Macaca fascicularis: one gene and its partners. The protein of the gene in region 3 binds, or shares a complex with, the protein of the main gene of each other region. Links are inferred from orthologs where the notes say so. Each region holds a gene or a part of one and is shown on either strand. Other genes may lie near its edges.

Region 1 (3,341 bases), on a different chromosome or scaffold from region 3:
TGTGTGTGTGCACGCGCGCTTTGAACAGCTAAGAACTTGGAGCTGCCTCCATTTCTGTCAGTGGTTGTTAATTCTGGCCTGACAAGGCTACTTTTGTCTTCATGCTGTCTGTGTTTAGGATTACAGGTGGGGTAAAACTTCGGTGGGGATTTAGAAAATTAGGGCAGTTGAGAAATTAGGGCAGATGGGGAAGCTTGCTCAAGCCCCAGATACTAATTTCCCTGAGACCAAATCACCCCCAGTGTGGCAGCCTCAAGGCTTTTTGTTTGACCTTAGGTGAAGTTCTTTTTGGGGCTCACCAAGAGGGTAACCACATACGTTTTTTCCAGAATGTGGTAGTGTCTCAGACTTCTACAAAATTTCTTTAGATGCTGAAAAGAAGAATTGTAGTCATCTAGGCAATACCACCCCGAACCTGCCTGATCTCAGAAGCTAAGCGAGTCAGGCCTGGTTAGTACTTGGATGGGAGACCACCTGGAAATACCAGGTGCTGGAGGCTTAAAACAAAGAACAGAATAGCTTGTTCATGGTCCTTCAGTTCTCAGTACCAGTCAAGTGGGAATCTTCAGTGAATTAACCTTTTTCTAGGGCTGCGGAGTTTAGTTGGTTTGCTCATAGCACTATCAAAGTTACAGGCTATATGCATTAATCAGGTAGCTCCCACATCTGGGCTGCCACCTTTCAGAAGTTGATAGTCCAGGAGACACATGAACCAGTTCAGATTCATCACAAACACAGGGAAAGTGCTCCAGTATTTTTAATCCATCTTTCCTTGCCTCACATAAGTGTAAAAGACAGTGGAGTGGGGGTATTGTGATCCTATTGATTCATTTCAGGTTCTGCTTTAGTCTGTGACCTTGAAAAGAATCATTAGCTTCTTTGGTTCTGTCTTAAAAGGAATGAAAATTATTGCTCACTGTATGCTTTCTAACATGGGGAAGGTCATGAGGAATATGCTGGCAATGAATTTATTATGGAAAAAGTCTAACATTTCTCTTCCATACTCCTTTCAGAATCGGCTACAGTCTCAAAGGGCAATGCTTCTGCAAGGCACTGAAAGCCTGAACCGGGCCACCCAAAGTATTGAACGCTCTCATCGGATTGCCACGGAGACCGACCAAATTGGCTCAGAAATCATAGAAGAGCTGGGGGAACAACGAGACCAGTTAGAACGCACCAAGAGTAGAGTAAGTCTGGGCAGACAGGGAAAGGGGCAAGTATGGGGAAATTAGGGGGCCACTGCACCTGGAAACCATACTAAGACCAAAAGCTACAGCAGTTCTGTATTCAGGGAATAGTCTTTTTTAAGTTCATATGCTTTTCTCAATTTTTATTTATTAATTTTTTTATTACTTATTTATTTTGAGATAGCGTCTCACTGTGTCACCCAGACTGGAGTGCAGTGGCGTGATCTCCACTCACTGCAACCGCCACATCCTGGGTTCAAGCGATTCTCTTGCCTCAGCCTCCTGAATAGCTGGGATTGCAGGCATGTGCCACCACACGTAGCTAATTTTTGTATTTTTAGTAGAGACGGGGTTTCGCCATGTTGGCCAGGCTGATCTCGAACTCCTAACCTCAGGTGATCCATCCGCTCTGGCCTCCCAAAGTGCTAGGATTACAGGCATGAGCCACTGTGCCTGGCCGCTTTGCTCAATTTTTAGTTTGCTTGGCCAAGAGATCTCCCTTAGAAGCAATTTTACCCCTAAGAATTAGACATCATTGGAAATTTTTGCTTCAGTGAAGGGAAAAAAAGATGGAAGAAACCTGATTTCTACACTTATAAGATTACAGGAATTAATAAGGATAAAGTGGCTGTATTCTCTCTTTGGCAAGAGAAATAATACGTCAAAAGGCACTTAAGGATTCAAAGCTTCCAATCAGATTTTAATTTTTTACACATCTAATAGAGTATTCTGCTATTCTTATGAAAACATCATCTACTTATACCCTGTCATTTAGAGCCAAGGCTATTTTCTAGATTTCGTAAAATAGTACCACAGTTTATAGATTTATAAATTATGCTTCAATCCTGGACTATAACCCTTTACTATTATCTAAGTAAAAGTAAAAAAAAAAAAAAAAAAAAAAGTAATAGGGAAAAAAAATCTCTAAGGATTATCCAGTAAGGTAAACTGGATCATTGTGGAAAGAAAACAAATATTTAACACCAAATGATGACTATATCAGGGACCTCTAGTCTACTGTCACTCTGAGAGCCTCAGAAAAATAACTCATTTATTTTTTCCTTTCCATAAATGAGTTAACCTATGTATGAATTTTTTAGTTTTTTAGAGACAGGGTCTTGCTCTGTCACCCAAGCTGGAGTGCAGCAGTGCAATTAGAACTTACTATAGCTTCAAACTCCAGGGCTCAAGTGATCCTCATGTGTAGCTGGGACTGCAGGCATGTGCTACTGTGCCTGGCTAATTGTTTTAATTTTTTGTGAAAACGGGGTTTCACTATGTTGCCAAAGTTGCTCTCGAACTCCTGGGCTCGAGCAATCATTCCACCTTGGCCTCCCAAAGCGCTAGGATTACAGGCATGAGCCACTGTGCCCGACTGGAATTTTTAAATTAGTACAATTTGCCAATTGAATGCTGTATTCTTAATAGCAGAAGGCAAATCAATTTGAAAAACATACTGTGGCCAAGATTTGGACAGGAAAATACTAGCTCAGTGTGAAGATTTGAGTAGATTTTCTTAGTAGCTACAATTCTCCATTAAGTCAGAGTAGTGCCTGCCCTCTTCAGTGAAAATTCACAATAAAGTACTACATTCAAGGAAAGCTATGGAGAATGTAACTTGCTTTCAGATTGTGTGGGTTTTGGTTTTTGAACATACCAGGTAGATTGGTTGAATTTAAAAGCCCAGGAGGCCAGGCTCACACCTGTAATTTTAGCACTTTGGGAGGCTGAGGTGGGAGGATGGCTTGAGCCTAGGAGTTTGAAACCAGCCTGGGCAACATAGTGAGATCTCATCTCTACTAAAAATAAAAAAAAGTAGCAGGGTATGGTGGCATGCACCTGTGATCCCACCTTACTTGGGGACAGGTGGGGGTATTGCTTGAGCCTGGGAAGTCAAGGCTGTAGTGAGCTGCGATTGCAGCACTGCACTCCAGCCTGAGTGACGGAGCGAGACCCTGTTTCAAAGAAATAAAAGCCACGGAATGAGCTGAGAGGTCAGCTTACCAAGGCCACTGGGGAATGGGAACAGATGGCAGGTAGCCATCTGCTGGAGGTGAAATATCCTCCAGCTGTCCAGATTAGTAGCAGGCAGTTGAAAGTTACATGGAGGTTCTTTTCACAATTCAATGCAACTGTCTCTTAAGAGGGTAAAGA
Region 2 (4,270 bases), on a different chromosome or scaffold from region 3:
TACACTTTCTTGACATCTATTTCTCATAAACTTTATTTCTTTAACACAGTGGTTCTCAAACTTTTGGTCTCAACTCTTTTGCACACTTAAAAATTATTAAGGGCTCTAAACAATTTTTGTTTATATTGACATTATCGACATTCACTATATGAGAAATTAAAAACTTTTGATGTTTTTGAAAATCTTTTTTTTGAAGTCTGGCTTAATAGAAAACAGCTGTTCTGCATTTATTCCGTTGCAATATCACAGTCTAGCAAACTCAACTGTATGCAACTCATGAGAAAGTGAGAGTGAAAAGGCAAATAACATCTTAGTATTATGAAAATATTTTTATATTGACCATTAAAACCACTATTTTAATACACATTCTACTTGTGCATCCTCTTTATGGAAAAAAAAAAATCTTGAAGAAATCAATGAGATTTTGAATATCCTTAGGCCAGCCATGGTGGCAAGTGCCTACAGTTCCAGCTACTCAGGAGGCGGAGCCGGGGAGGATCGTTTGTGCCCTGGCGTTCCAGTCTGTAATGAGCTAGGATGGCGCCTCTGAATAGCCACTGCAATCCAGCCTGGGCAACATAGCAGACCCCCATCTCAAAAAACAACACAAAACAGAACCATGAACCAAAAATGCAGAAGAAACTCATTGACTGACTTGTCAATTTTAATAGCTATGGCTCAAGACGGTACAATTAAAAACTATGCATGAAGCAAGAACAGAATCCAGCGACATTAGGGCCACTCTTTCACCTTTGCCTCCATCTAAAGTTCCTATTCATCCTTCAAATCTCTGCACAGGTGACGCCTTTTCTCTACAGCCTCTTCCATCACCACAAATACGAGTGATTATAATAATAACATTATTAACGATTACTACCATTTATTGGCCACTTACTAGGAGCCAAGCAACATCAAAACACAGCACGCGTCAGCTCACTTAATTTTCACAGTAAACTCCGGGGAGGATGCTGGCTTCACTTTACAGAGGTGACTGAAGGGTGGAGAAGAAAGACCTCTGGCCTCTAGCTCTATGCCTTGCACATCTGCTCTGTCTCAGCACTTATTGCACCCCGAGGGTCACCGTCCAAGCGCCTCTGTCCTGCTCAAGGTGAGTCCTTGCAGTCAAAGGTCAAGGGTGGCTCGCCTCCACGTCCCCCGCAACCAAACCGCCCGCTCTCAGTGAGGGAGCCACCAGAAGGGAAGGAGCCTCCCAGCTTCCCGGTCCTCACGCTCCCGGAGCCCACACGCCCCAAAAAAGCACAGGAAAGCTCGCTGAGCTCTCCGCACTGCTAAACCCTCCAAGCTTTGCCGGGAGAAAGAGGTGCCCGTGAGCTCGTCGCGGGGTTCCTCCTCCGCCAGGTGCGCCGCTGAGTTCGGAACCTTTTTCCTCCCGCCGCGGTAGCGGGGCTCAGGCCGGAACCTTTCTTCTCGCATCGCAGTTGCCGGTGGGGAGGAGTGCGGGGCAGGACCAGTCCTCCAGCGGCCGGGTTCTCGCCGCGGTCGCCGGCTGCTTACGTGAGCGGGCCCAGTGTGGGTCTGCGGGTACGGGTCGCTATGGCCGTGGACATCACGCTGCTATTCCGGGCCAGCGTCAAGACCGTGAAGACGCGGAACAAGGCGCTGGGAGTGGCGGTGGGCGGCGGGGTCGATGGCAGCCGGGATGAGCTGTTCCGCCGGAGCCCCCGGCCCAAGGGCGACTTCTCCAGCCGGGCCCGCGAAGTGGTGAGCTGGTTGCTATGGAAACGGCGGGTTGAGGAGGGGGCAGTCCTGCGACAGGGACCCCGAGCCCCAAACCACACCCCGTCCCGTAAGCATTGTGTGAAGGAGGTGGCCCCAAGGGGGACAGGAGAGTTGGCCTCAGAGACCGGACAGCTTTTTGGGGAAGGAACAGCCTTATTTTAAGGAAGGGGGACGCATATTGGGGAACAGATTTCTCCTGCGGCGGCGGGGGTTGGGGGACGAGGAAGGAGACCCTCAGAAATCTCTATCTGGAAAGTGCACGGGCGGCTTTGTGAGGTCATGAGTTCGCCGTCACTACAGACTTGCACTCACGGGAAACCTCACTGTCCTTCACTTCCTGTTGCAGAACTGACCACACCGTATTTGCCTGTGCTCTTTACTTGTCTGCCTCCCATCCCCAGTTGAGATTAAAAACCATATTCAACCGAACTCTTTCTTCCCTTTGTCTCCGCGATAAGTAGGGCTCAGTTCCTCTTGAGACGAGTTTAGGGTCATCTTTCGCAAACACGGTGTTACAGTCATCTCAACTACTTTCTGTTCCCTGATCAGAGCAGGTGTCCCTTCATCTCTCTGGGAACAGGAACCTTTTCCTTAAGGGCAGGGACAGTTGTTTTCATCTCACAATGCATGACTCATAGCATTGCTTAGTAAATGTTTGTTGAATGAATGAATGAACAAAATGGCTGTCTTTCCCGTTAAACAGAAAATTCCATGAGGGGAGAGATGTTTGTCTTGTTCCCTTTTGTGTCCGTGACACCAAGGAGGGATCTAGGTTTTGTGGGGCCGAAAGTTTTTATAGTTATGTCTGCCGTCTTTAAGAAATAAAAATCACCAAGAGAGATTCAGAGCTTTGGAAGATGGAAGTGAGGGACCCCGAAGCTAAAACCTCATTAATTTCACAGTAGATCCTACTCTGCTTGGCATACACTTGGCACTGCATAGACACTCAGATATTTTCGAATGAATGTATGCATGCATGCATTAATGACAGTTAGCAGAGGATACTTAAACATCAGAAAGGGGTTGGACCAGATGAATACACTCTCCCTATTGATGAACATCTATGAAGCACCTACTTTCTGACCAGCCTCATGTTAGAGTAATATGATGTAAAAGGAGTAGTGGAGTAGACGGACATAGACATAAAACAAGTGCCATAAAGCCTTGCAAGTGTTATGTAGGGCACAAAGAAGAATGTGGTCAGTTCTACCTGAGGATCAGAAAAGGCTTTATAGAGGTGATGATGCCCAAAACAAATCTTGAAAGAGGATTAGTTGGCTCCAGTGCAGAAGGGCATCTCAGGCTAAAAGAATAGTATGCGCTAAGATGTGGAGGTGTGTAAGAGTCTGATATAAGTTGGTTCAATAAACATTTGAGTGAGACTGGTATGTGGGACTCTCATAAAAATTGGACCGGGAGAGATCTTAAAGGGCTTTGTATATCACTGCGGAGTTTGAATTTTGCCCTCTAGGCCGTCAGATGTTATATGGTAGAGAAAGTACCAGAGAAGGAGCCAGGAGACCAGGTTGTTGTCTGAACCCTGCAACTGTTAGCTATATGATTTCATTAAGCAAGTGTCAAGACCTCAGTTTATTTACCTGTAAATGGTCCTTTTTTTTCTCCTCCTCCTTTTAAAAAACTACCTTGGTCCTCTATATATAACAAATTAAAGTGGAAGCTTCCTAGGCTGAAATGAGAGGAAGAGAAACAGGATACTCTCCCTCCCAGTTTGGCCTAAGCACTTCCTGGGGTTCCTTTTGTAGAACCGTGGTATGAATATCACAGTATTGGCGTTGTAAGGGTCCCTTCTGACTCTGAAACCACTGATTTATGAACACTGTGCTAATTTTGAGTCCTGCTCAGGGAAAGGGGGGATTTGGGAATGGTCGAGACAAGAGGCACAGTTGAGTTGGCAAGCCCTTTGGATAGCCCTGTGATCACTTCCACCGCTCCCTGAGTGGTGAAAATGTGTTTTAGACTTTTGAGTTAATGGGCCTCAGGGACAGTAACAGTCCTGTAGGGTGCTGAGTTCCCTGTCACTGGAAGTAATTAAACAGAGTGATGACTGCTTTTCAGAGATGTTTGAGAAGAACTTTGTGCATATGTCATAGGTTTGGACCGCGTGACAGTGAAACTTCCAATTCTGCTATGTATTGATGTGAGTAGGTGTCACATTACCTTAAGTGAGTACATGGGCTGTGTTGTTCAGGGACGCTGTCCCCCTGACGTAGAGGAAACATACATTCTTTTAAGCAATTTTGATTTTGTGTTGTCATTGCTTTGCGTATTATCTCCTGTTCTTCCAACCATTCCCCACTCCCCATCTTCTCTTGTGGGAATTTTAACTAGAAGAGCTAGTGATGGATGTCCTGTGCTTTCACTATGATTAGATGTGTCAAAAGTTTGCCTGTTATTTTGTTTGGCCTGGATTCCTTATACAGAAAAGTCTGGTCAATACCAGAAGCACATATTCTAATTCAGGTTTAGCCCTGGTTGTCAGACTTAATGAAATGTAATAAGTTATAGTATG
Region 3 (3,500 bases):
TAATTACATGCTCCTCCTAAGATGTCATCTCTTGTTCATGCTTTGAGAGTCCAATTATGCTTTTGCAGCTGTGGTTCTAATGGGTAATACACATGCTGTTGTGCTATGTAGCTAGAATAGAGATCTTCCTTTTATTTCTTATTTACTTCTCTCAGTTTGACTTGAAAGAAACAGGTATATTGGGAAGGGGAAGAGGGAGAATAGACTGTATCCGTAAGTAATGTGGTGACATTGGCAGTACTGAACTTGCTTATACATAGATAGAAGATAGAAGTAAAAGTGATGTTGCTTATAACCACAGTAAGTTTTATATCTTTTATTCTACAGTTATTTGTTTCATTACATCTGCCAAGACAGGATTGTATATCTTTGTATCACTGATGATGTAAGTAACTTGAAGACATATTGCTATTTAACTATGTGTACTATTAATACAGCCAGTTCTTTATTATCTACACCAGGGGTCCCCAACCCCCAGGCTGCAGACTGGTACAGGTCTGTGGCTTGTTAGGAACCAGACCACATAGCAGGAGGTGAGTGGCCTATGAGCATTACCACCTGAGTTCCACCTCCTATCAGATCAGCAGCAGCATTAGATTCTCATATGAGTGCGAACCCTGTGATGAACTATACATCCGAGGGATCTAGGTTGCATGCTCCTTATGAGAATCTAACTAATGCCTGATGATCTGAGGTGGAACAGTTTCATCCCGAAAACATTCCCCCTCCCCCAGTCCTTGGAAAAATTGTCTTCTACAAAACCGGTCCCTGGTGCCAAAAAGGTTGGGGACTGCTGATCTGTACCTATGGTGGGCAAAGGTGATGCGAACTTTACATAGCTGGAATTGTTAATATTTTGCATTTGTCATATAGAGCAGCAAATGATAAGAAAACTTGATACTGCGGTATGTGCAAATCAGTTCGATTTTGGTAGAGTTTTAGCTTAGCCTGTTGCAACTTCTATATTCTATTTTGTAGTGAGAATTGGTGTTCATAATTATAATTCTTTGATATCAAAACCTCTCAAAAATTGTTTACCTGGAATGTTAAATTAGATAACGTCATTCCTTCTATCAGTAGTTAATGAATTCTTTCATGTGTGTGAACTTTGGAAAAACAAAATTACAGTACATTATGATCAGCTATATAAACCTGTAGTTTACATTGGCTAGGTATGACTGTCGGCTCTCAGCCCAAAATTCTCAGTAACTTAATGATGTCATTAAGGTCCTTTCTCTTCTCTGCTTTCCTCCGTGTCTCCTTCTTCCCAGACAGGTTGCCATTATGGTTATGTAGAGCTACATACTTATTTATTCATGTCCAGAGAAGAGGGACTGTGTCTTCTTGAGTGTCTTATTGTAGGAATGAGGAAGCTTTTCCCAGCTGCATGCCCTCCCCTCCCCCTTCTTTCAAAGTGAACTTCCTTTCATGTCTTATTGGCTGCATGCTCATTTCTAAACTGTCTACTGACAAAGAGACATGGAATTGGCATGGTTGCCATAGATCAGGGTTCCTAATCTTTGTTGTATCACAGACTCGTCACTTGTGGAACACTCCCAGAATGCTTTTGTTTTCTTTTTTTAATTTTCCTTTTCCAGAATGCTTTTAAATGTATAAAACACACACAATTCTAACAAAGCCAGTTGTATTGAAATATATATATATGTAGTTTTCAAAATATTTTAAAAACTTGATGTAGTCATATATATGCTTCTTTATTAACTCATTAACAAGGTCTAGTCGTGGGTCTAATAACTAATAATCTTGATGTGATGGGTGTTAACAATATTTTGAGATATCTATAACTGTGATGGTATATGAAAAAAGATTTCTGTTGGTGATAGTTACAGGTACTGTTAATACTACCTTGGTTATGAATATACTACCTATATTCACAATTGAAATATAAGTTAACAATTGATAAAAATAATGATGTGATGATCTTTTTTTCTATCCAAGTACAAGGGCCCCTTGAATTTGGACCATTGACCCCAATTTAAGAACCCTCGGCTTAGACTAAGCATCTTGGGTGAAAGGGAAATGACTGTCAACCATAGTGATCATCACAATGATTTTTATCTCTGGCTTCACAATATTTTCCAAAAGTAGAAAAAAATCCAGCTATATGTGAAATGACTGATGTGAAAGAGCTTGGAGTAGATAAAAAATAATAATGAAATCTGGGATAGTCAGAGTCGAGCCTCGTATTTCTTGAGCTGTAATTTGATACACACATACACATACATACATAAACACACATACACACATTCATTTTTTTCCTCTAAGGTATTCTTCTAGAGAACACACATAATTTTTGGCTGGCTGAGATTAGACATGAGTATGTCACTTGATCTTTTCAAATGTACCACCACTATTGAAAAAATTCAATTTGAAGTTAATATCAGTAGTATTATCTGTGTGTATGAAAGACTGTATGATTATTATGGGATTTATTAAACATATTCTTGTGCTGGGCCTTCTAATAGATCCTGTAAAATATATGGAGGAAGTAAAACCCAATTCCTGATGTCAAGAAGTTGATAATTATCATTATCTTCAGTTGTCAATGACCGGATATATCTGGATTCACTCTCAGCTCTTTCATTTACTAGTTGTTGGACCTTTGGACAAGTTAGTTACTTTTTCAGGGCCTTCCTTTACTTATCTTTAAGATAGGATCATTGCTAGTTCCTCCTCATAGAATCATTGCTCAATCAATGTTAGCTATTTTTTATTGTTGTTCTTAATCACTCACATCATCTTTGTTTACTTTCTAAATGTGAGTTCTGTGTTGATCTCTTTTCAGGATTTTGAACGTTCTCGAGCCTTTAATTTTCTGAATGAGATAAAGAAGAGGTTCCAGACTACTTATGGTTCAAGAGCACAGACAGCACTTCCATATGCCATGAATAGCGAGTTCTCCAGTGTCTTGGCTGCACAGCTGGTAAGATCTTTCTCAGGATAAGGTATTTTGATTTTTATCTTCTTTATTACCTTCAAATGCTATGAATCTAGGGGGCCCTGACCTGCAATATAGTTTTCTGATTGTGTTACTGTAAGTCAACATAATAAAACTTGCCTGATTAAAAAAAATGTAAAGGAGCAATTTTAGGGTAGAAAACAGTGATATTCTTTATTATCTCTGTATTCTCTATTAATAGTGGTCATAGTGTCTCATGATCGGAAGAGCATTAAAGATCATCTAGTTCAACTACCCATCTGATGCTTAAATGTGTTCAACATGCCAAATGATCTTTTAACCTGTACATAAACCTTCTACCCTTCCATGAGGCAAATTTAATTTTCTAACAACCCAAATTAATAATTTGAAACTCTCTTCATCTGTATGAGTCCATAATTATCAGCTTCGTGAGGTTTTACATGTGTTTATACCTGTGAAATACCACTGTACTCAAGACAGCATTTTAATCTCCCTAAAAATTCCCTTATGTCGGTCCCCTCCCCCACACTCTGCCCCAGGCAACCACTGATCTGTTTTC
Region 4 (3,976 bases), on a different chromosome or scaffold from region 3:
CGGAATTTCCAACAGGAAAGGATCTCAGCCCCCACCGCGCCCTGCCACACACACAGTGACGCCCCTCGAGCTCCACAGAACCGATGGGATGTAGACGGGAAAGCCGAAGTGGAAAGGACTTTTCAGTCCCGGGCCATTGGGTTCGTTAGGCGTTTGCTGGGGAATGCAAGCGAACGGGACTCCCAGGCCCCTGCCTTTGTGGAGCTTATGTTCCAGAGGGGAAGGCAGACAAGGAAAAACAAAAGGACATGAGGCGGTCACAGGGCTGTGCTTCAAAAGAAGCAAAAGGTGACTGCTGGGCTGCAAGGGCTGTGAGGCAGTGGTGTTTTTGCTAACACTGGACGATGGGAAGCGAGCCGGGAAAAGACTGGAGGAGCCACTCCAGGCAGAAGGAGCAGCACTTGCAAAGGTGGAAGGGCCGTGAGGGGCCGAGAGAAAGGGGAGCAACGCAGTCTGGCCTGGACTCAGTTCCCTCTTGACAAGCAAAGATCCTGCGTGTCCGTTTCAGTGGCCATCAGGAGGATTCAGTGACGCACAGGAAGCGCGGTCCACTGGCTCTTGTAACAAGTGCCCGGGAGCAAAGGCGTCTACGGCCCCCACTCCCCGTGCCGCCTCCCAGTCTCTTTCCCTGCTTCACTTTCCTGTAGCGCTTTCCGCACACCTGTATTCGACGCGGCGCGCACTCGCAGGCACTAGCGAGGCGCCGATCTCCACTTGACAGAGGAGGCACCCTTGCCCCCTCCACACCCAGGGCTCCTCGCGGGCTTCTGCCCGAGGGGCCTACTCCTCCCTCATGACCCGCCTGTGAATCCTTCCTAACCGTTAGGACCTAACGCATGGCAGCGTCTTTCCACCACCATCGTCTTGGCACTGAGCAAGCAAACGGCCCCGCCCCGCCCCACGTTCACAGGAACAACAAACAAACGTCACATCCGCGGTGCTGCTGTAATCCCAGCACCTTGGGAGCCCGGCAGGCGGGGGCTGCAGTGAGCTGAGATCGCGCCACTGCCTGGGCGACAGTGCTGAAAATAAGTCACAGCGACGCCCATCGCTTCCGCGACCCCGCGGTTCCCCACCCTCGGGCCTAAGCCGGAAATCAGCGAGCCCGACGCCATCTAGGGGCGTGGTTGGCGCGGAGGCGGGGCCATCGCTGGCGGGGGGCGGGGCCGGAAGCCCGTTCCCCGTGACTGCGCCACGTCTGAGGCGGCTGTGGCCGCGTCGGTGTTGGCGTCGAGGAGCCGGGGCAGGGCACGATGGCGGACTGGGCTCGGGGTGAGCGCGGGAGAGCGGAGCCGTTGGGGGCAGGGCCGGGCCGGAACCGACGCCGCTGCCTGTAGAGCCGCGTGCGCCTGCCTCTGGCCTCGGCGGGGAGGACCCTGTCAGGGGGGCGGATTCGGATCCTTCCGGGTCCCAGCAGGGCCGGGTTTCGGCCAGCACTGCCGCTAGGAAGGACGGCGGGCGGGGCGGCCCAGCAGCTCCAGCGAGGGCTCGCGCAGCTGCGGGGTCCCCCCACTCCCCGCCGCTCCCTGTGAGATCGTTTTGCATGGGTTCAGGGTGAGCGGGAGTCTCGGCATTCGACAGGTCCCGAGGCCAGGCCTTCGGAGTAGGCTGTGCTCCGCTGGTGTCCAGGCAGGCCTCTGCTAACTAACTTGGGCCTCGGTGGCCCCATTTCCCCTCCTGGAGCCCGTGTTCTTCTCTGCAAAGTGGGATATTGATGCCTGTCTGAGTTATGATGAGTAAAGGAATTAATGAACAGGAAGTGGTTGGAAGGACGCTGGCATCCCTTCCTTAACGTTGAAGCTAGGGAGAAGGTGGTTCTCACCCACCTGAGGTGACAGAAATTCCTTATCACCTGGCCCAGCCTGTCACAGGCCGGGCCTCTGCAAGCGCTGTGCCCTGGGTGTTGCAGGAAGCCCTGTGTGGGATGCAGACCAGGGATCACGCTCCTGGTCGACCTCAGCTCCCATCTCGCGGAATTGGGAACTTTGCTCAGCTGTTTTCTGTGCGGTAAAGGGCCTTCCCAATGTTCTGTCCTGGTTCCTTGCCACCTCTTCAGGACCCAGCTCAAAGGTCGTCCCTGCAGGAGCCTTTCTGCTGCCCTGCTGGGTACTTTTCCCAAGTCTTTCCTATGCTCTTAGCAGAGTTTACTCTTTTTCTATAAGAATGGGCTCCACATACACAGATGGCGACCTCCCTGGATGCAAGTGTCACATCTTATTAACATCCCAGAGCTGGGCCCAGTTTTTGCTACACAGTCTCAGAAGGTGCTGGTTGGACTGAACCCACTGTGGGTGCTGGCCCATCCCCACCTGGATGTGTACACAGGACACGTGTTCACATGACAGGCCCTTGCACACATCGTCCTTTATGCAGTCTCTCTCACATGTGCAAGATTCACCTGCTGGAACCTAGGTTAGGGCCCCTAGATTTCTGACTCACCCAGTTGTGGTTGGAGTGAGAGGGGTCAGAGGCCTCGCTCCCCGATGGATGCAATCACTCAGCCCCTCTCTTTTCTCAGCTCAGAGCCCGGGCGCTGTGGAAGAGATTCTAGACCGGGAGAACAAGCGAATGGCCGACAGCCTGGCCTCCAAAGTCACCAGGCTCAAATCGGTCAGTGGTGGTCTGTCCTCTTACCTCCACCTGGTGCCCTTGGGGAATGGGGATCAGAGGGAAGGTAGAGGGCCCAGAGGAGTTTCAGGCAGTTTGCCGTCCTCCTCGTTCGATTCGTGGCTGTGCTCACCTGCATGAGGCCCCAGCTGACACCTGGACCTTCCTGCTGCTGCCCCACTGTGTCTGGCAGAGTTGTTGGCAGGGTTTGTCTGGTCTGGGAAGGGTGAGTGCTGTATTATGTGTCTGCTCTGGCCCAACCCTGCCCTCTCTGTGTGCTGAACAGCTCGCCCTGGACATCGATAGGGATGCAGAGGATCAGAACCGGTACCTGGATGGCATGGTAAGGGCCCACGGTGTGCGCGAATCAGTGCCCTGCCCCCAGCACTACCTGCTACAGAGCTTGCAGTGTCTCCTTCAGCACTGGTGCGGGTGGGTGGTCAAATCACCACTTCTGTGTGATCTTGCCGGGATTCTTCCCTTAGGACTCGGATTTCACAAGCATGACCGGCCTGCTTACAGGGAGTGTGAAGCGCTTTTCCGCAATGGCAAGGTCCGGACGAGACAACCGGAAGCTTCTATGTGGCATGGCTGTGGGTCTGATTGTGGCCTTCTTCATCCTCTCCTACTTCTTGTCGAGGGCAAGGACGTGAGACAGTGGGAGCTGGTGTCTGTGGGTGCCAAGGGCAGCCATTGTCTTCCCTGCCTGGCATCTTGGGCTCCAGAGGACTTACCTGCAAAGTACTCCTTTGAAATTATAATCGTGGGCCAGGAATCCTTTCTGTGTGGCAGGAGGCTGCGGCTGCCTGTGACCTGATGAGCTCATGTTGGCTGGTCCCATGTGTGGAAGGGACTCTTTCGGGGAAACCAAGGCCCAGCCCCTCCCCCCTTCCCCAGATGCTAGAGACACAAGCAGAGCTGGGGCCGCAGCGTGTCTGGAGGAGCCAGGTCTGAGCAGAGCAACTGTTGAATCCCAGGCGTGGCCACCTGTGGCCTGCAGCCTTTCTCCCAGCTCTTGGGACGCTGACATCTGAAGGCTCCACGGTCGTGTCCTTGTCTGGATGAGGCCATGTCTGTGATCCAAGGTTCCTGGAACTGACACAGGAAGGGGCTGTGAACCCTAAGTGGGTGCTATCTCCTCCAACTGAGGCTTCTCAGCCTGGAGATGGCAGTTACTCCTGGCCATGGTTGCTGAGCACAGGAGACCAGTGCGGGCCACCCTGCTGTGAGTTCTCTGTGCCTACTCTCCAGTCCTGCGGATGAAGTGAGACCCCTGGGGAGAACGGGTTGTGGATGAAGGAGTGGACTGCAGCCTTGGCCTAGCCACTGGGTGGGATCCTTCTGGGTCCTGTGACTGTGTATCCAGGAG
Region 5 (4,108 bases), on a different chromosome or scaffold from region 3:
TTTTTCCATTTAAATACCAAAGGATGAAATCTTATTCTTAAGTTTTCAAAAGACCTGGAAGGAATCCATTCATAACATATTTTAAAGCAAGAAATTGCAATAAGCCCAGAATGAGGGCTCAGACAGCTAAGTTTTGGTCCCAGCATAGTCAGTAACTATCAGGGCAACTTGAAGAGGCCAGTTAATCTCAGGTTCTTCTGTAGTGCATTGTACCTTCCCCTCCCAGAGCCCAGAGGTCTATCAAAGATAATATGAATGGTATTTGGAAAGTGCACTAAACCTCACACAGATGTAAGATCCTTTCATGAGTTCCTTCAACGATTGAAATGTCTCTTCCTACGTTCACCAGCCACTTCCTAATTCTCAAGTACAATGCACTACTTTCAGTTCTTTATTTACTTGAACTTTCTGTGACAGATGACATGATGGACCATTCCCTCTTTTTTCCCTTCATTCTCTAGTTTGCCTTTTCCTGGTTTATTTCCTATCTTGTGGGTTACTCCTTTTCTGGGTTATTCTTTCTCTGTCCATCTCTCTTAAACAGATAACATTCCACACTTAGTGTTGGTGAGTTTCAACCAGAATTCTATACTAGGTTTTGCTTTTTTCCACCTAAGTGCATCTGGACTTTTGATATCACATATCCGGGTAATCATTTTAGAAAATAGTGTTTCCTTAATATAGGCGAAGGCTAAGCCAATCTATCTTCTAATTAATTTGGTGAGGGCTTTCTTTCATTTGTAGCAATTGATGCTTTTCATCTAACAATTATATTATATTTGCATATTTATCATTGGAACAGTCTCTGCTTGTTTTAAACCCTGTGAAAACTACGCCCTGCTTTTCAGGAATGCTTCGAATGACTTGTACGTACTAGGAAAACTTGTTTACTAAGTGAGGACCCAGAGATGACTCTTCACTTATTCCTTCATTGTTCCCGCTAGGATTTTGTATTCGCCTTTGCATTTTTCGATAGAGCTGTGAACGCGATCTACTGCAGTTAAAGGTTAGCAAACAAGATAGGCAGGAGCTAAAGGGGCGGGGTGAAGACCTGCGTGCAAGAAGGCTTCACCAGATAAAGAAGACAACTGTCCTCCATTCTGTCCTCTGCTTTTTTGCACGCAGGCTAAGAGGCGTTCACCATCTCTACGTCAGGCTTCAAAGAACAGCTCCCTTGCAATTTTGCTGATACTCCCATTCCTTAGCTTGGAACCGAAGGGGCGGTGAGGGCCGCTGTCACTCAGCCCCGCGGGCCAATAGAAAAGGGGTGAACCCCGCCTTCTTCCTTGAATTGTGCTGCGGGCATGCGCATTGGGCGTCCCCACGCCACCGCCCATCAGCTGAGAATTGCAGCTGAAGGCTCGGGGGTCGGTGGGTGACGGTGGTCGGAGGTGTAGGAGGGAGCCACCGAGGTCCAGGTAAGAGGACCCTGGGGAGGGGGGTTTCCTGGCCGTGCGACAGGGAGGCGCGGTGCCCCTGCGGCGCCGCTCCTCCTTGTTTGTGCGCGTGGTCAGGTGGCCGCCGCCCTGCGCTCTGCAGCAGGCACTCGGTAGGTGAGGAAGGGCCGGACTGCCCCGGCTCCCGGAGCGCCTGCGGCTCCCCATACCCCCAGGCCGGGTGCAGGGGCGCGGCGCGTTCCGCATTCCTGGAGTGCGCGGCTGTGGTTAGGTGGGCCTGGCCAGCCACGCACCCGCCGTGGTCCCATGGGCAGCGCTCCCGAGGCGCACGGCGTGGCCGGCGCCAGACCCGGCTGGGGCCCAGCCCAGGAATCCAGACACGACCAAATGACCTCTTCCTCTTTTCAACTCATGGATTGAAAAACACACTTTAAACTTCCCGAATATAGAGGAACTGAAAAATGTATGGCTGTAGCAGACAAACCGTGTATGTTTGTTTATTCAGTGGCTCGTAGTATTTGTTTTATTTGGCTTGATGACTTAACATACTTTGACATTCTTAGTATACACGTTTAATTAATTTACATAAAAACCTTTAAACATACATAAAATATTTCTAGTATTTCCTCCACCTTGTTTTTTAGTTACTTACTTTCTTTAAATTCAGACAAAGAAAAAAAAGTTGCATTTCTGATCAAATGCTGTGTGTTTTTTTCCCACAAATTTCTCACATTTGCTTGACTGTTATCTATATACGTTAATTTTTGTTTACCTCAGATCGTTGTATTCTGACTATAATTATATATAGTATATAAAACTTGCCTAGAATCTGGAAGAAAAGAAAGTAATTATGAAATGCTGTGCTATTTAATAATGTTGGAAGTGAGCGTTTCTTCTGCAGGTTCTCTGAGCACACCTGGGCAGAGGCTAATAATGGTGTTAAACTGTGTTTGTGATGTGGCCAGGCCTTATAGGCCACTTTGAGAAGTTGGCCTCAGACTTGTGACTAGTTAAGAATTATGCTCTTAACTTCACAGTGTCTGCAGAGGTTAATATGATACCATATTAAGTCATTAACATCATCATTTTTCCTCGGATATGTTACTTATGTTGCTCTTGATAACAAAATCAATTCTCATTTTGATTATGACCCCAAACTTTAAGTGCTGATGATTGAAAAGTAAATTATAGAAAATATCCACAGTAAGTCTGAGTAAAGTTTGCTGTGATTCCATTTAATTTGCAAGTTTCATGTGTGAAAGTGTGAAAAAAATAATCCTTGATATTGTGAACTAAAACCAAGTAGTACAAAAGTTCAGTGATGGAAGATCTAAGGCCAAAGAATGCAGTTAATGTAGTTTGTGCAGAGGATACTTATGTAGACAGTTCCTTGAGCATTTAGTATGCACCAGGCACTGTAGATTACACAGAATGACAAGGTCATCTATCCCCTGTTTATATTCCAGAAGTAGCTCCTGTTTGTATTCCAGAGGTATAGGGATCAATAATAAAGGTTTGTATTCCAGAGGTGTAGGGATCAATAATAAACAGTAACTAATTAGACTATTGAGTATTGTGAAGCAGTAAGTTAGATTGACAAAGAGTGGCCTGTGGTGAGTTCTCACTTTCAGATCAGAGTGGTCACAAAGGTTTCTCTAGCATGTGATGAGGCCTTGCTGGGGAGAAGGAGCCAGTCACATGGAGATCATGAGAAGAGCCTTCTAGAAATAGGAAATGGCACCCAGCAAAGGCCTAAGGCAGCAAGGAGCCTGCGACCTTCGGGATCTGAAAGAAGGCACTGGAATTTTATGTTTTAGAAATGGTAATATTTACCCTCACGCTGGGTGTGTGTTCTTAGGAAGTGGGTACATTCATTCATTCTACAAATATTTGTTAAGCACTTATGATGTAGCCAGGCACTGAGAATAGTGCAATCCACAAAACAGGCAAAAAAATGCTCACCCCCCACCCGTCAGAACTTATTTGGGGTAGAGGGTAGAGAGAAGTCCAGTTGTTTATGCTGATGTTAATGATTAAGAAAGTGAAATTGACCCCTTCTTTGCCCAGAGTAGATTTATAGAGCATGAGATATATGCTAAATGGAAATCTTAAGGATTCTACAGTGTATCTGATTTTAACTGGGAGTAGTGTTTGACACTTTAAGATTACATTTTAACGTTCCCTTTGTTCATTCTTTTGTGTTCTTTAGAAGCAGTCTTGAGAAGACGCTCATCTGAGTGTTGCACTTTGATTCTCCCTTCCTGTTTTTCTCTTTATGGTGTTTGTGTATCTTCATAGAAAGATGATTATTGCGATGTGGAGATTGGCACTGTGCAATAGCTCTTTCTGTGATGATGGACGTGGTCTGTGAATGAGCTGTCCAAGCTGCTGGCCACTAGGAACACAGAATTTTTGAACGTTTGAAAGGTGTCTAGTATGACCGAGGAACTGAATTTTTCATTTAACTTAATTTTAATTAATTTTAATTTTTTAAAAACAAGAGCTACAATGTAATTTAAGTGATATACAATATAAAACGGTGTAAATTGTCACATCAAAAAATGAAATGTAGAGTAAAAGTGTAGTTTCTTACTGCAGTTACCTTGTTAACAGCTTATAATAAGATATTTTTTGCTTTTATTTTAATTGACAGATAATGATTATACACATTTGTGGGGTACATGTGATACCTCAGTAGATGTATACAATGT
Region 6 (4,233 bases), on a different chromosome or scaffold from region 3:
GGCATTAACAGTTAAAATCCTGAGGGTTATTGCCAAGAGCATGGATGGGGTTGCTTTCTGGGAGCAGGGAATAAAGGTGGTGATACCCAGAGGGATTATTTCTCAGCCAGGGTCTCCTTCCCTGTGGGTTTGTCCCTGTGCCCCTGACTACTTTTTCTTTTTTTTTTAACTTCTTTTTGTGGAGATGGGGTCTCCTATGTTGCCCAGTCTGGTCGCTAAGTCCTGGGCTCAAGCAATCCTCCTGCCTTGGTCTCCCAAAGTGCTGAGATTACAGGTGGGAGCTACCATGCCCAGTCCCCCTGACTCCTACACTTTCTTCCCACTCACCAGGATGAGCCCCAAGAGCCTCAAGAACCCAACAAGGTGCCCCTAGAAGACACAGAGACAGACGAACTTTGGGCATCCTTGGAGGCAGCTGCCAAGCGGAAGCTCTCGGATTTGGAGCAGACCCAAGGAGCTCTCCAAACCAGACGGAGAAAGAAGAAGCGGCCTGGGTCCACCAGCCCCTGACGCCCCTGTGCCTGCCCACTTTGTAAATAAACAGCTGAACATCCACCATGACCCTGAGCCTTTTGTGATGGGAGAAAGGAATGAGGGGTAGCTTGGGGTGGGGGCTCCCTGAGCTGGGGCGACGGGATATCTGATGTCACAAAAGCCGGGCCTGGAGGCAGGTAGGCTGGCGTGGGTGGCAGGGAGTCCGGGGCCCCGAGGGGCCATGGGCTGCTGCCAAGACAAGGACTTTGAGATGTCGGATGAGCAGTCCAAGGAGGCAGAGTCTGAGGCCGTCAGGGAAGATGGGACCAGAGGCACACACAGAGGGCCCAGGGAGTGTGAGAAGGGGCTTCCCGAGGGTAGGGGTGAGCTCAGAGGCCTCGTCGCCTCAGGCGCCGAAGGTATCGACTTGAACTCCCCGGACCATCGGAATCATAAGTCGAACGAAAGCCTTCTGATCACCGTGCTGTGGCGGCGACTATCCATGTTCAGTCGTCGGGGCTCCTCGCGGTCAAGCAAGAGACAATCAGACCAGATTAGGTCATCAATGTTCAGTGGTCGGGACTCCTTGCCGTCAAGCAAGAGGCAATCAGATCAGACTCGGAAACAGGAGCGTCCGATCCGAGAAGGCAACCAGGAGGAGCCGGAGAAGGGATGACCCCAGACCTGCTCTTAGTCAGCCCCAACCTCCAGAGAATAAAATTTCTAACGTGTACCTGCACCACCACTCTGGGAAACGGGCGCGGACACCGCCGGGCAGCTGGTTCTTTAAGGCTCCTCCCCGGAGGCGGGCCCAGCCCCCTGGGCTCCCGCTGTAGTACTCAGGGGCGGGGTCACGGCAGCGCCTTAGCCAATGGGAGGGGGGGTCGCTCTTGCGTTTGGATGTGGGGCGTGTCTTTCGGGTCGCCTGGCTTGAAAATGCGTGGGACCGCCCCCTCGTCACCGGGGGTGGGGTTACGTGTAGGTGACGTGGCCGCTTCCAGTCTGGTCGGGTTTCGGCGGCCTCAGTGCCCAGGGAGGAGGCAGTGACGGCCGGGGAGATTGGTAGTGGCGGCGGCGACAGGCAGCAGAGGGGAGGTAAGACTTGCTCTAAGAGGGGGTCTGGCCACCGTGTCAGCTCTGGGGCAGTGGTTTTACAGGGGCGACGACTGGCAGGGGGAAGGGAACCAGGGGCAAGCAGGCAAGTCCTGCCGGCCCGGCTCCTGGTGAGCGAATTCCTTGCCGTCCAATCAGGAAAGCCTCTGTTGAGAGAGACGTCGGCATTAGCTAATGAGTGGTTGAAGTCTTCCAGAAGGCGGACCTTGGGCGGGGGTGGGACTTCCTGTTTCAAATAAACACCCAGAGGTGTCCCCCTCCGCCCACCGAAGTGTGTCAGTCTTTGGAGGTCCGTCACCGGCCCCCCCCCGAGGGGCCGAAGGAAACCACGGAAACGAAGGGACTGGGTTAGGGCCCGGGGCAGTTACACGGGCCAGGCCGCAGTCTGAGGGCCACGGGACTTGGCTCTGGCCCTGTCTCTGCTTCAGGGCCCCCGGCCCGCGCTCTGGCCGCCGGAGCCAAGTTGGAAGAAGAGTCTGAAGCGGGTTCGACTTGGGACAGGGGAAAAGCAGAGCCCTTTCCGCTGCTGGCCCGCCCCAGGATCTGCGAGCGTCTTGGGCGCGAAAGTCCATGAGAAGTGCGGAAGGGGCTCGAGGATTTGTTGATTGGGGTGGGGCGGGGGAGTTTGGGGAAAGAAGCTGCCTGGGGAATGACACTCTCCCCTCCACAACAGTCCGAGGTTATGCGTCTCAATGATCCCGCGGAAACGCTACGGGTCTAAGAACACGGATCAGGGTGTCTACCTGGGTCTCTCAAAGACACAGGTCCTGTCCCCTGCACCTGCTGGCAGTAGCAGCAGCGACATCGCCCCTCTGCCCCCCCCAGTGGCCCTCGTCCCTCCCCCTCCCGACACCATGTCCTGCCGGGATCGGACCCAGGAGTTTCTGTCTGCCTGCAAGTCGCTGCAGACCCGTCAGGTAAGGACCTGGAGTGGAAAATGCGAGGAGTGAGCCATACTCAAATCTAGGAAGGACTGTGCTCCACCACTGTTAACTGAAGTAATTCTTGGGGGTACCTGATGGAACTGATAGGCTTGGATGGGGCCAGTAGGGTCTGCTGTAAGCAACAGAGAAGAGGTCGGCTGGCTAACTAGAGGCAAGGACTTAGACCTTTTTTTAGGAGGAATCCCTTGGAGGGCAGAAGTGCTATTCTGGAGGGAGTACTTCAGAGAGTACTTGGCTGTAATATAATTGGTGTGAATAAGGAACAAGTTCTAGGAAGAGCCTTTAGCTGAGAAACACGCACCTTGAATTTTCCAATATATTTCTACCATAAATTTGCTCTGTAACCATGAGAAAATTAATCTAGTTACATCTTAGTTTTTATCTCTGTAACATTAAGGACATTTTCTAGATCAGTAATTTGTTGTTTTTGTTTTGTTTTGAGATCTGTTTTCAACTCTGTCAACAGGCTGGAGTGTAGTGGCGTGATGATAGCTCACTGCAGTCTTGAACTCTTAGACTCAAGGGATCCTCTTTCCACAGCCACCTGAGCAGCTGGGACTACATGGATGCACCACCCAGCTAATTTTAAAATTTTTTTTGTACAGGCAGTGTCTCACTATGTTGCCCAGGTTGGTCTGGACACAAACACCTGGCCCTAGACCAGTAATTTGTATCAAAATAACTTAGGGTTGGATGTGGTGGCTCGTACCTGTAATTCCAGCACTTTGGGAGGCCTAGGCCACAGGATCGCTTGAGGCCAGGAGTTAGAGACCAGCAGGGGCAATGAAGAAAGACCCTGTCTCTACAAGAAAAGAAAAAAAAAGCTGGACGTGGTAGCATGTGCCTGTAGTCCCACCTACTTAGAAGGCTGAGCGAGGCCCAGTCTCTTTCTCTTTTTTTTTTTTTTTATTTTAAGAAGGAATTTCACTCTTGTCGCCTAGACTGGAGTGCAGTGGTGCAATCTCAGCTCACTGCAACCTTCTCTTCCCGGGTTCAAGCGATTCTTCTGCCTCAGCTTCTGGAGTAGCTGGGATTACAGGTGCCCGTCACCGTGCCCGGCTAATTTTTGTATTTTTTTTTTAGTAGAGACGGGGTTTCACCATGTTGGTGGGGCCGATCTTGAACTCTTGACCTCAGGTGATCTGCCTTCCTTAGCCTCCCAAAGTGCTGGGATTACAGGCATAAGCCACTGCGCCCAGCCTCTCTCTCCTTTTTTGGAAACAGGGTCTCACTCTGTCACCAAAGCTGGAGTGCAGTGGTTCTATCTCGGCTCACTGCAACATCTGCCCTCCTGGGCTCAAGCAGCCCTCCTGCCTCCAGCTTCTCAGTAGCTGGGATTATAGGCATGTGCTACCATGTCTGCCTAATTTTTGTTTTGTTAGTAGAGACGGGGTTTTACCATGTTGCCCAGACTTGTCTCGAACTTCTGTGCTCAAGTGATCCACCTTCTTCATCTTCTCAAAGTGCTGGGATTACAGGTGTCAGCCACTGCACTCAGCTCCTCTTAAAAAAAAAATTGGGAGTGCTTTCTAATTATTTATTTATTTAATTAATTATTTTTTTTTTTTTTTTTGAGACGGAGTCTCGCTCTGTCGCCCAAGCTGGAGTGCAGTGGCCGGATCTCAGCTCACTGCAAGCTCCGCCGCCCGAGTTTACACCATTCTCCTGCCTCAGCCTCCCGAGTAGCTGGGACTACAGGCGC
Region 7 (3,966 bases), on a different chromosome or scaffold from region 3:
CAGTTTGGGAGGCTGAGGCAGGAGGATTGCTTGAGCCCAGGAGTTAGAGACCAGCTTGGACAACATAGTGAGACCCCATCTTGTAAAAATTTTTAAAAATAAAAAATGAGTGAATATCTCGATAGCCAGGATTAGAGAAGTGTCACAGTCAGAAAGACTGAAGCCTAAAGAAGGCCAAGGAACCAGGGTCTTCATCCTCAGATACATGAAAGGCTAAGATTCTGTCCACAAGTATTTATAGAGGGCCCGTAATGTGCTTGGTACTGAGCTAGGAACTCCCCAGATTCAGTTAAGAACAAAGTCATTACCTGCCTCAGATGCAAGGCAGGGTCTGGGGGGTGTGAGTGGCAGGGAAGGCAGCGTGCAGAGACACTTTTCTTAGCCTGAGCTGCCCTGACATGGTCTGACAGCCCACAAGGTGGTGAGTGCAGCCGGGCTGTAGTGTTCAAGGAGGGCGCCGGCTGGCTGCCCACCTGTCAGAGGCTGCGCCAGGAGGATGCGGAAGAAGAGGTTTCTGCCTTGGCTGAGGTCACTTTCCACCCCTAGATTCCCTGCCCACACAACCCTGCAATTTTCTGACGCTGACGACTCGGATCCTATTATTTCCCGATTTTCAAGGTCCCATGATGCTGACAGCCCCAAATGCTAAGTCGTCAGTCCGCCCACGCCCCTGGACCCGAAAGCAATAAAGGCGAAGTCAGCAAGGGTCCTACCACCCACTGCCTCGAAAGGCCTCTGGGAGTGGTGGGCGCGCCCCTCCCCACCTCGCGGGGGCCGTGTGGGCGTCGTTCGGTGGTCGGAGTGCCGGGGACGTCGTGATGAAAACAGCGTCCCAGAGACGGCGCTGACCGAGCCGGGACACGTGACAGTCACAGCGTCACATTCTGCGGTCCACGAGTTTGGGACCGGGTTGCTCACGTGACGCGGTGGGGGCACCATGGGGTGATATGAGATGCGGGTGCCTCAGATTACGTACAAATGACGTATTCCTACCCCTTTTGGCAACCAGATTTCCGTTGGAAGATGCAACGGTTCCGGTGACGGTAGCCAGTTCTCGCGTCCACGCAGCTCCGCTTCCGCTCGGGGCGCAATAACTTCCGACTCCACCTTCCGCGCCTCGGGCGAGGAAGAGACGCGACCATATGCGCATGCCCCGAATTTATCACGGAGGGGCGGGGCTGAGGCTGCGGGAGCTGGAGGGGGGAAGAAAAGGGAATTCCAACCTGTGGAACCTTGGGGGGTCCCCGGGGTCGGCGCCTTCCCATTGACTGTGGGCGGTGCAAGGGACGGAGGCTCTGGTGGCTCGTGGGGGTGTTGGGGTCCACAGGGGGAGGGAGGGGAGTGTCAGAGTGTGAGTGGGGTACGGGTATTCCAAGTTTGCCGGCCTCCCGGTCTGACGCCGGGGAGGGAGAGCTCAGGCCGCCATGCGGGACAGGACCCACGAGCTGAGGCAGGTGAGACGCCAGGGCAGCGGGGATGGGGGCGCGCGGACGAACTGGAACGCAGGACTCCTGGTCTTCGGGGTAGGGAGGGGTGGCTGATGGCCAGGAAGGAAAGTCCCGGAAGCCTGTGGGTCCTGCGGGGTGACAGCCGCAGCGAAACAGTGGTGCCAATGACTCCGGGCCTGGCAGGGGGATGACAGCTCGGACGAAGAGGACAAGGAGCGAGTCGCGCTGGTGGTGCACCCGGGCACGGCACGGCTGGGGAGCCCGGACGAGGAGTTCTTCCAGAAGGTAAGGGGATGGAGTCTTGGCCTGGATTCGCGAGGGGGTAGGAGGACCCGAGGAGCAGCGTGGTCTGGAGTACCCCATATCTCTTTCAGCCCTCTCGGTCACCCTCCCCAGGTCCGGACAATTCGGCAGACTATTGTCAAGCTGGGGAATAAAGTCCAGGAGTTGGAGAAACAGCAGGTCACCATCCTGGCCACGCCCCTTCCTGAGGAGAGTGAGTGAAACCCCGGCTGCATAGCGCATGCTCCGCCCCAGGGATTGTGGGGGTTGTAGTTCCACGCAGGTGGTGGCCAGGGTGGTTTGTTGAGGTGGGGGCTGCTGTTTGGGAGTCGTGGCCTTCTCTTATTCAGGCATGAAGCAGGAGCTGCAGAACCTGCGCGACGAGATCAAACAGCTGGGGAGGGAGATCCGCCTGCAGCTGAAGGGTGAGCTACTGGGACCTCAGGCAGATCCTTCCCTCTGATCCTGCCCTGTTGTTGGTATATCTGGGGAGTGTGTGGCCCAGAGAAGCCAGTGATATATCCAGGTCACACAGCAGGCCTGGTTCTAGCATCTCTGTCTTCTGGCCTCCAGGCCATTGTACTCTCCACAGCACAAGGCAGTCTCTCAGGTTCTTTTATTTACAATGAAACCATTTACTTACACAGTTATCACTGCCCACTGGGGCATTCTTTGGGCAGGGAGATGGGGTTTTGTTAGGTGGCCTCTGCATTCGTACGGGAACTCAAGTGATGTAATGCAAAGAAAAATAAACTTACTTTCTCCTCTTGGAGGCTCAGCCTTAGTCATTTTATGATAAATTATATTTCCCTAAAAATCCTATGGAGACAAGTACCCCCAATACCCCTGTGTCTTCCCACAGCCATAGAGCCCCAGAAGGAGGAAGCTGATGAGAACTATAACTCCATCAACACAAGAATGAGAAAAACCCAGGTGGGTTTTTTTTCTCAGAAATGACATTTCAGCAAATGTTTCATGAAGTAGTAGATGACAGATGTATGAAGGAAGGGCCTGTAGAGGTCATGGAGTCCAATTGGATGATTTTTCCAAGTGGGGAACCTGAGCTCAGAGAGAGAAAGAACTTGCTCAAGGTCAGGAAACCAGGTCTCCTGATGCTCAGTCCGGTTATAACACCCTGCTTTATTTTCTTCCATTCAATAAGAAGTTACTTATTGACCCCAGACAAGACCTAGGCTTGACTGTGGGACACGTTTTCTTTTCTTTTTGCCTCAGCCTCCTGAATAGCTGGGATTACAGGCGGACACCACCATGCCGAGTTAATTTTTGTATTTTTAGTAGAGACGGGGTTTCCCCATGTTGGCCAGGCTGGTCTCGAACTCCTGACCTCAGGTGACCCTCCTGCCTTGGCCTCCCAAAGTGCTGGAATTACAGGCGTGAGCCACTGCGCCCAGCTGGGACACGTGTTTTCTAGGAGTCAACATGAGGAGTTAGGGTTCAATAGGGGATAAAGACATTACTCACGTGGGATCTGGTGGCTAATGGCGCTGCCCAGGGAAGGAGAGTGAGAAGTCACAAATTGACTGGCAGGTTTGCTATCTGTGTGACAGGGACATCCTTAGTCCCACAGGTGGAATTCAAGAAGTCAGGAAGTGGAACTTCCCTGGGGCGACACTGAAGAGGAACTCCCCTGGTGTAATATCTTTTTTTAAAAAATTATTATTATTTTTTTGAGATGGAGTCTCTCTCTGTCGCCCAGGCTGGAGTACAGTGGCACAGTCTTGGCTGACTGCAACCTCCACCTCCTTCAAGCGATAATCCTCCCTCAGCCTCACAAGTAGCTGGGATTACAGGCGTACACCACCACACCTGGCTAGTTTTTTATATTTTTGGTAGAAATGAGGTTTCACCATGTTGGCCAGGCTGGTCTTGAACTCCTGACCTCAAGTCCTCAAGTGATCCACCTGCTTTGGCCTCCCAAAGTGCTATGATTACAGGCATGAGCCACCGTGCACGGCCCCTGGGGTGATATCTTAGTAAGGAGATTTGCAGTGATCTGACTGGCCCTCTTTGTGTCCCCAGTGAGGAGGATACCAAGAGGTCAGGGTTGGAGTAGTTGAGCCCAGGGCTCAGCAAGGACCCCAGATTGAAGATGAAACAGCTTGGGCATCTTGGAAGGGTGCAGCTGGAACCAGGAGAGCAGATGTATCTCTGGAAAAGGAACTCCAAGGAATGAGCATATTTAAGGTCTCAGGAGAAGGGGCAAGGCAGAGCAGAT

The links.
Region 1: VAMP7 (region 3) and VTI1B share a complex: the UniProt entries of both Homo sapiens proteins name them as parts of the SNARE complex. The link is inferred for Macaca fascicularis from reciprocal best matches to the Homo sapiens genes VAMP7 and VTI1B.
Region 2: VAMP7 (region 3) and STX18 share a complex: the UniProt entries of both Homo sapiens proteins name them as parts of the SNARE complex. The link is inferred for Macaca fascicularis from reciprocal best matches to the Homo sapiens genes VAMP7 and STX18.
Region 4: VAMP7 (region 3) and BET1L share a complex: the UniProt entries of both Homo sapiens proteins name them as parts of the SNARE complex. The link is inferred for Macaca fascicularis from reciprocal best matches to the Homo sapiens genes VAMP7 and BET1L.
Region 5: VAMP7 (region 3) and STX7 share a complex: the UniProt entries of both Homo sapiens proteins name them as parts of the SNARE complex. The link is inferred for Macaca fascicularis from reciprocal best matches to the Homo sapiens genes VAMP7 and STX7.
Region 6: VAMP7 (region 3) and STX5 share a complex: the UniProt entries of both Homo sapiens proteins name them as parts of the SNARE complex. The link is inferred for Macaca fascicularis from reciprocal best matches to the Homo sapiens genes VAMP7 and STX5.
Region 7: VAMP7 (region 3) and STX4 share a complex: the UniProt entries of both Homo sapiens proteins name them as parts of the SNARE complex. The link is inferred for Macaca fascicularis from reciprocal best matches to the Homo sapiens genes VAMP7 and STX4.

The regions. Positions count from the first base shown.
Region 1 is NC_088381.1:135,559,350-135,562,690, reverse strand, and holds part of VTI1B (vesicle transport through interaction with t-SNAREs homolog 1B), read left to right. Parts: intron 1-1,013; coding exon 1,014-1,187; intron 1,188-3,341. UniProt on the Homo sapiens protein: V-SNARE that mediates vesicle transport pathways through interactions with t-SNAREs on the target membrane. These interactions are proposed to mediate aspects of the specificity of vesicle trafficking and to promote fusion of the lipid bilayers.
Region 2 is NC_088379.1:8,513,663-8,517,932, forward strand, and holds the start of STX18 (syntaxin-18), read left to right. Parts: upstream 1-1,470; 5' UTR 1,471-1,554; coding exon 1,555-1,722; intron 1,723-4,270. UniProt on the Homo sapiens protein: Syntaxin that may be involved in targeting and fusion of Golgi-derived retrograde transport vesicles with the ER.
Region 3 is NC_088395.1:161,936,688-161,940,187, forward strand, and holds part of VAMP7 (vesicle-associated membrane protein 7), read left to right. Parts: intron 1-327; coding exon 328-385; intron 386-2,806; coding exon 2,807-2,944; intron 2,945-3,500. UniProt on the Homo sapiens protein: Involved in the targeting and/or fusion of transport vesicles to their target membrane during transport of proteins from the early endosome to the lysosome. Required for heterotypic fusion of late endosomes with lysosomes and homotypic lysosomal fusion.
Region 4 is NC_088388.1:85,832-89,807, reverse strand, and holds the start of BET1L (BET1-like protein), read left to right. Parts: upstream 1-1,176; 5' UTR 1,177-1,253; coding exon 1,254-1,272; intron 1,273-2,518; coding exon 2,519-2,610; intron 2,611-2,893; coding exon 2,894-2,950; intron 2,951-3,092; coding exon 3,093-3,260; 3' UTR 3,261-3,976. UniProt on the Homo sapiens protein: Vesicle SNARE required for targeting and fusion of retrograde transport vesicles with the Golgi complex. Required for the integrity of the Golgi complex.
Region 5 is NC_088378.1:36,468,806-36,472,913, reverse strand, and holds the start of STX7 (syntaxin-7), read left to right. Parts: upstream 1-1,308; 5' UTR 1,309-1,418; intron 1,419-4,108. UniProt on the Homo sapiens protein: May be involved in protein trafficking from the plasma membrane to the early endosome (EE) as well as in homotypic fusion of endocytic organelles. Mediates the endocytic trafficking from early endosomes to late endosomes and lysosomes.
Region 6 is NC_088388.1:11,216,575-11,220,807, forward strand, and holds the start of STX5 (syntaxin-5), read left to right. Parts: upstream 1-1,433; 5' UTR 1,434-1,569; intron 1,570-2,015; 5' UTR 2,016-2,164; intron 2,165-2,260; 5' UTR 2,261-2,279; coding exon 2,280-2,504; intron 2,505-4,233. Other genes in the region: WDR74 (WD repeat-containing protein 74), read left to right, coding at 331-510; TEX54 (testis-expressed protein 54), read left to right, coding at 644-1,150. UniProt on the Homo sapiens protein: Mediates endoplasmic reticulum to Golgi transport.
Region 7 is NC_088394.1:29,214,429-29,218,394, forward strand, and holds the start of STX4 (syntaxin-4), read left to right. Parts: upstream 1-1,166; 5' UTR 1,167-1,424; coding exon 1,425-1,454; intron 1,455-1,631; coding exon 1,632-1,733; intron 1,734-1,822; coding exon of another isoform or gene 1,823-1,844; coding exon 1,845-1,944; intron 1,945-2,080; coding exon 2,081-2,155; intron 2,156-2,592; coding exon 2,593-2,663; intron 2,664-3,966. UniProt on the Homo sapiens protein: Plasma membrane t-SNARE that mediates docking of transport vesicles. Necessary for the translocation of SLC2A4 from intracellular vesicles to the plasma membrane.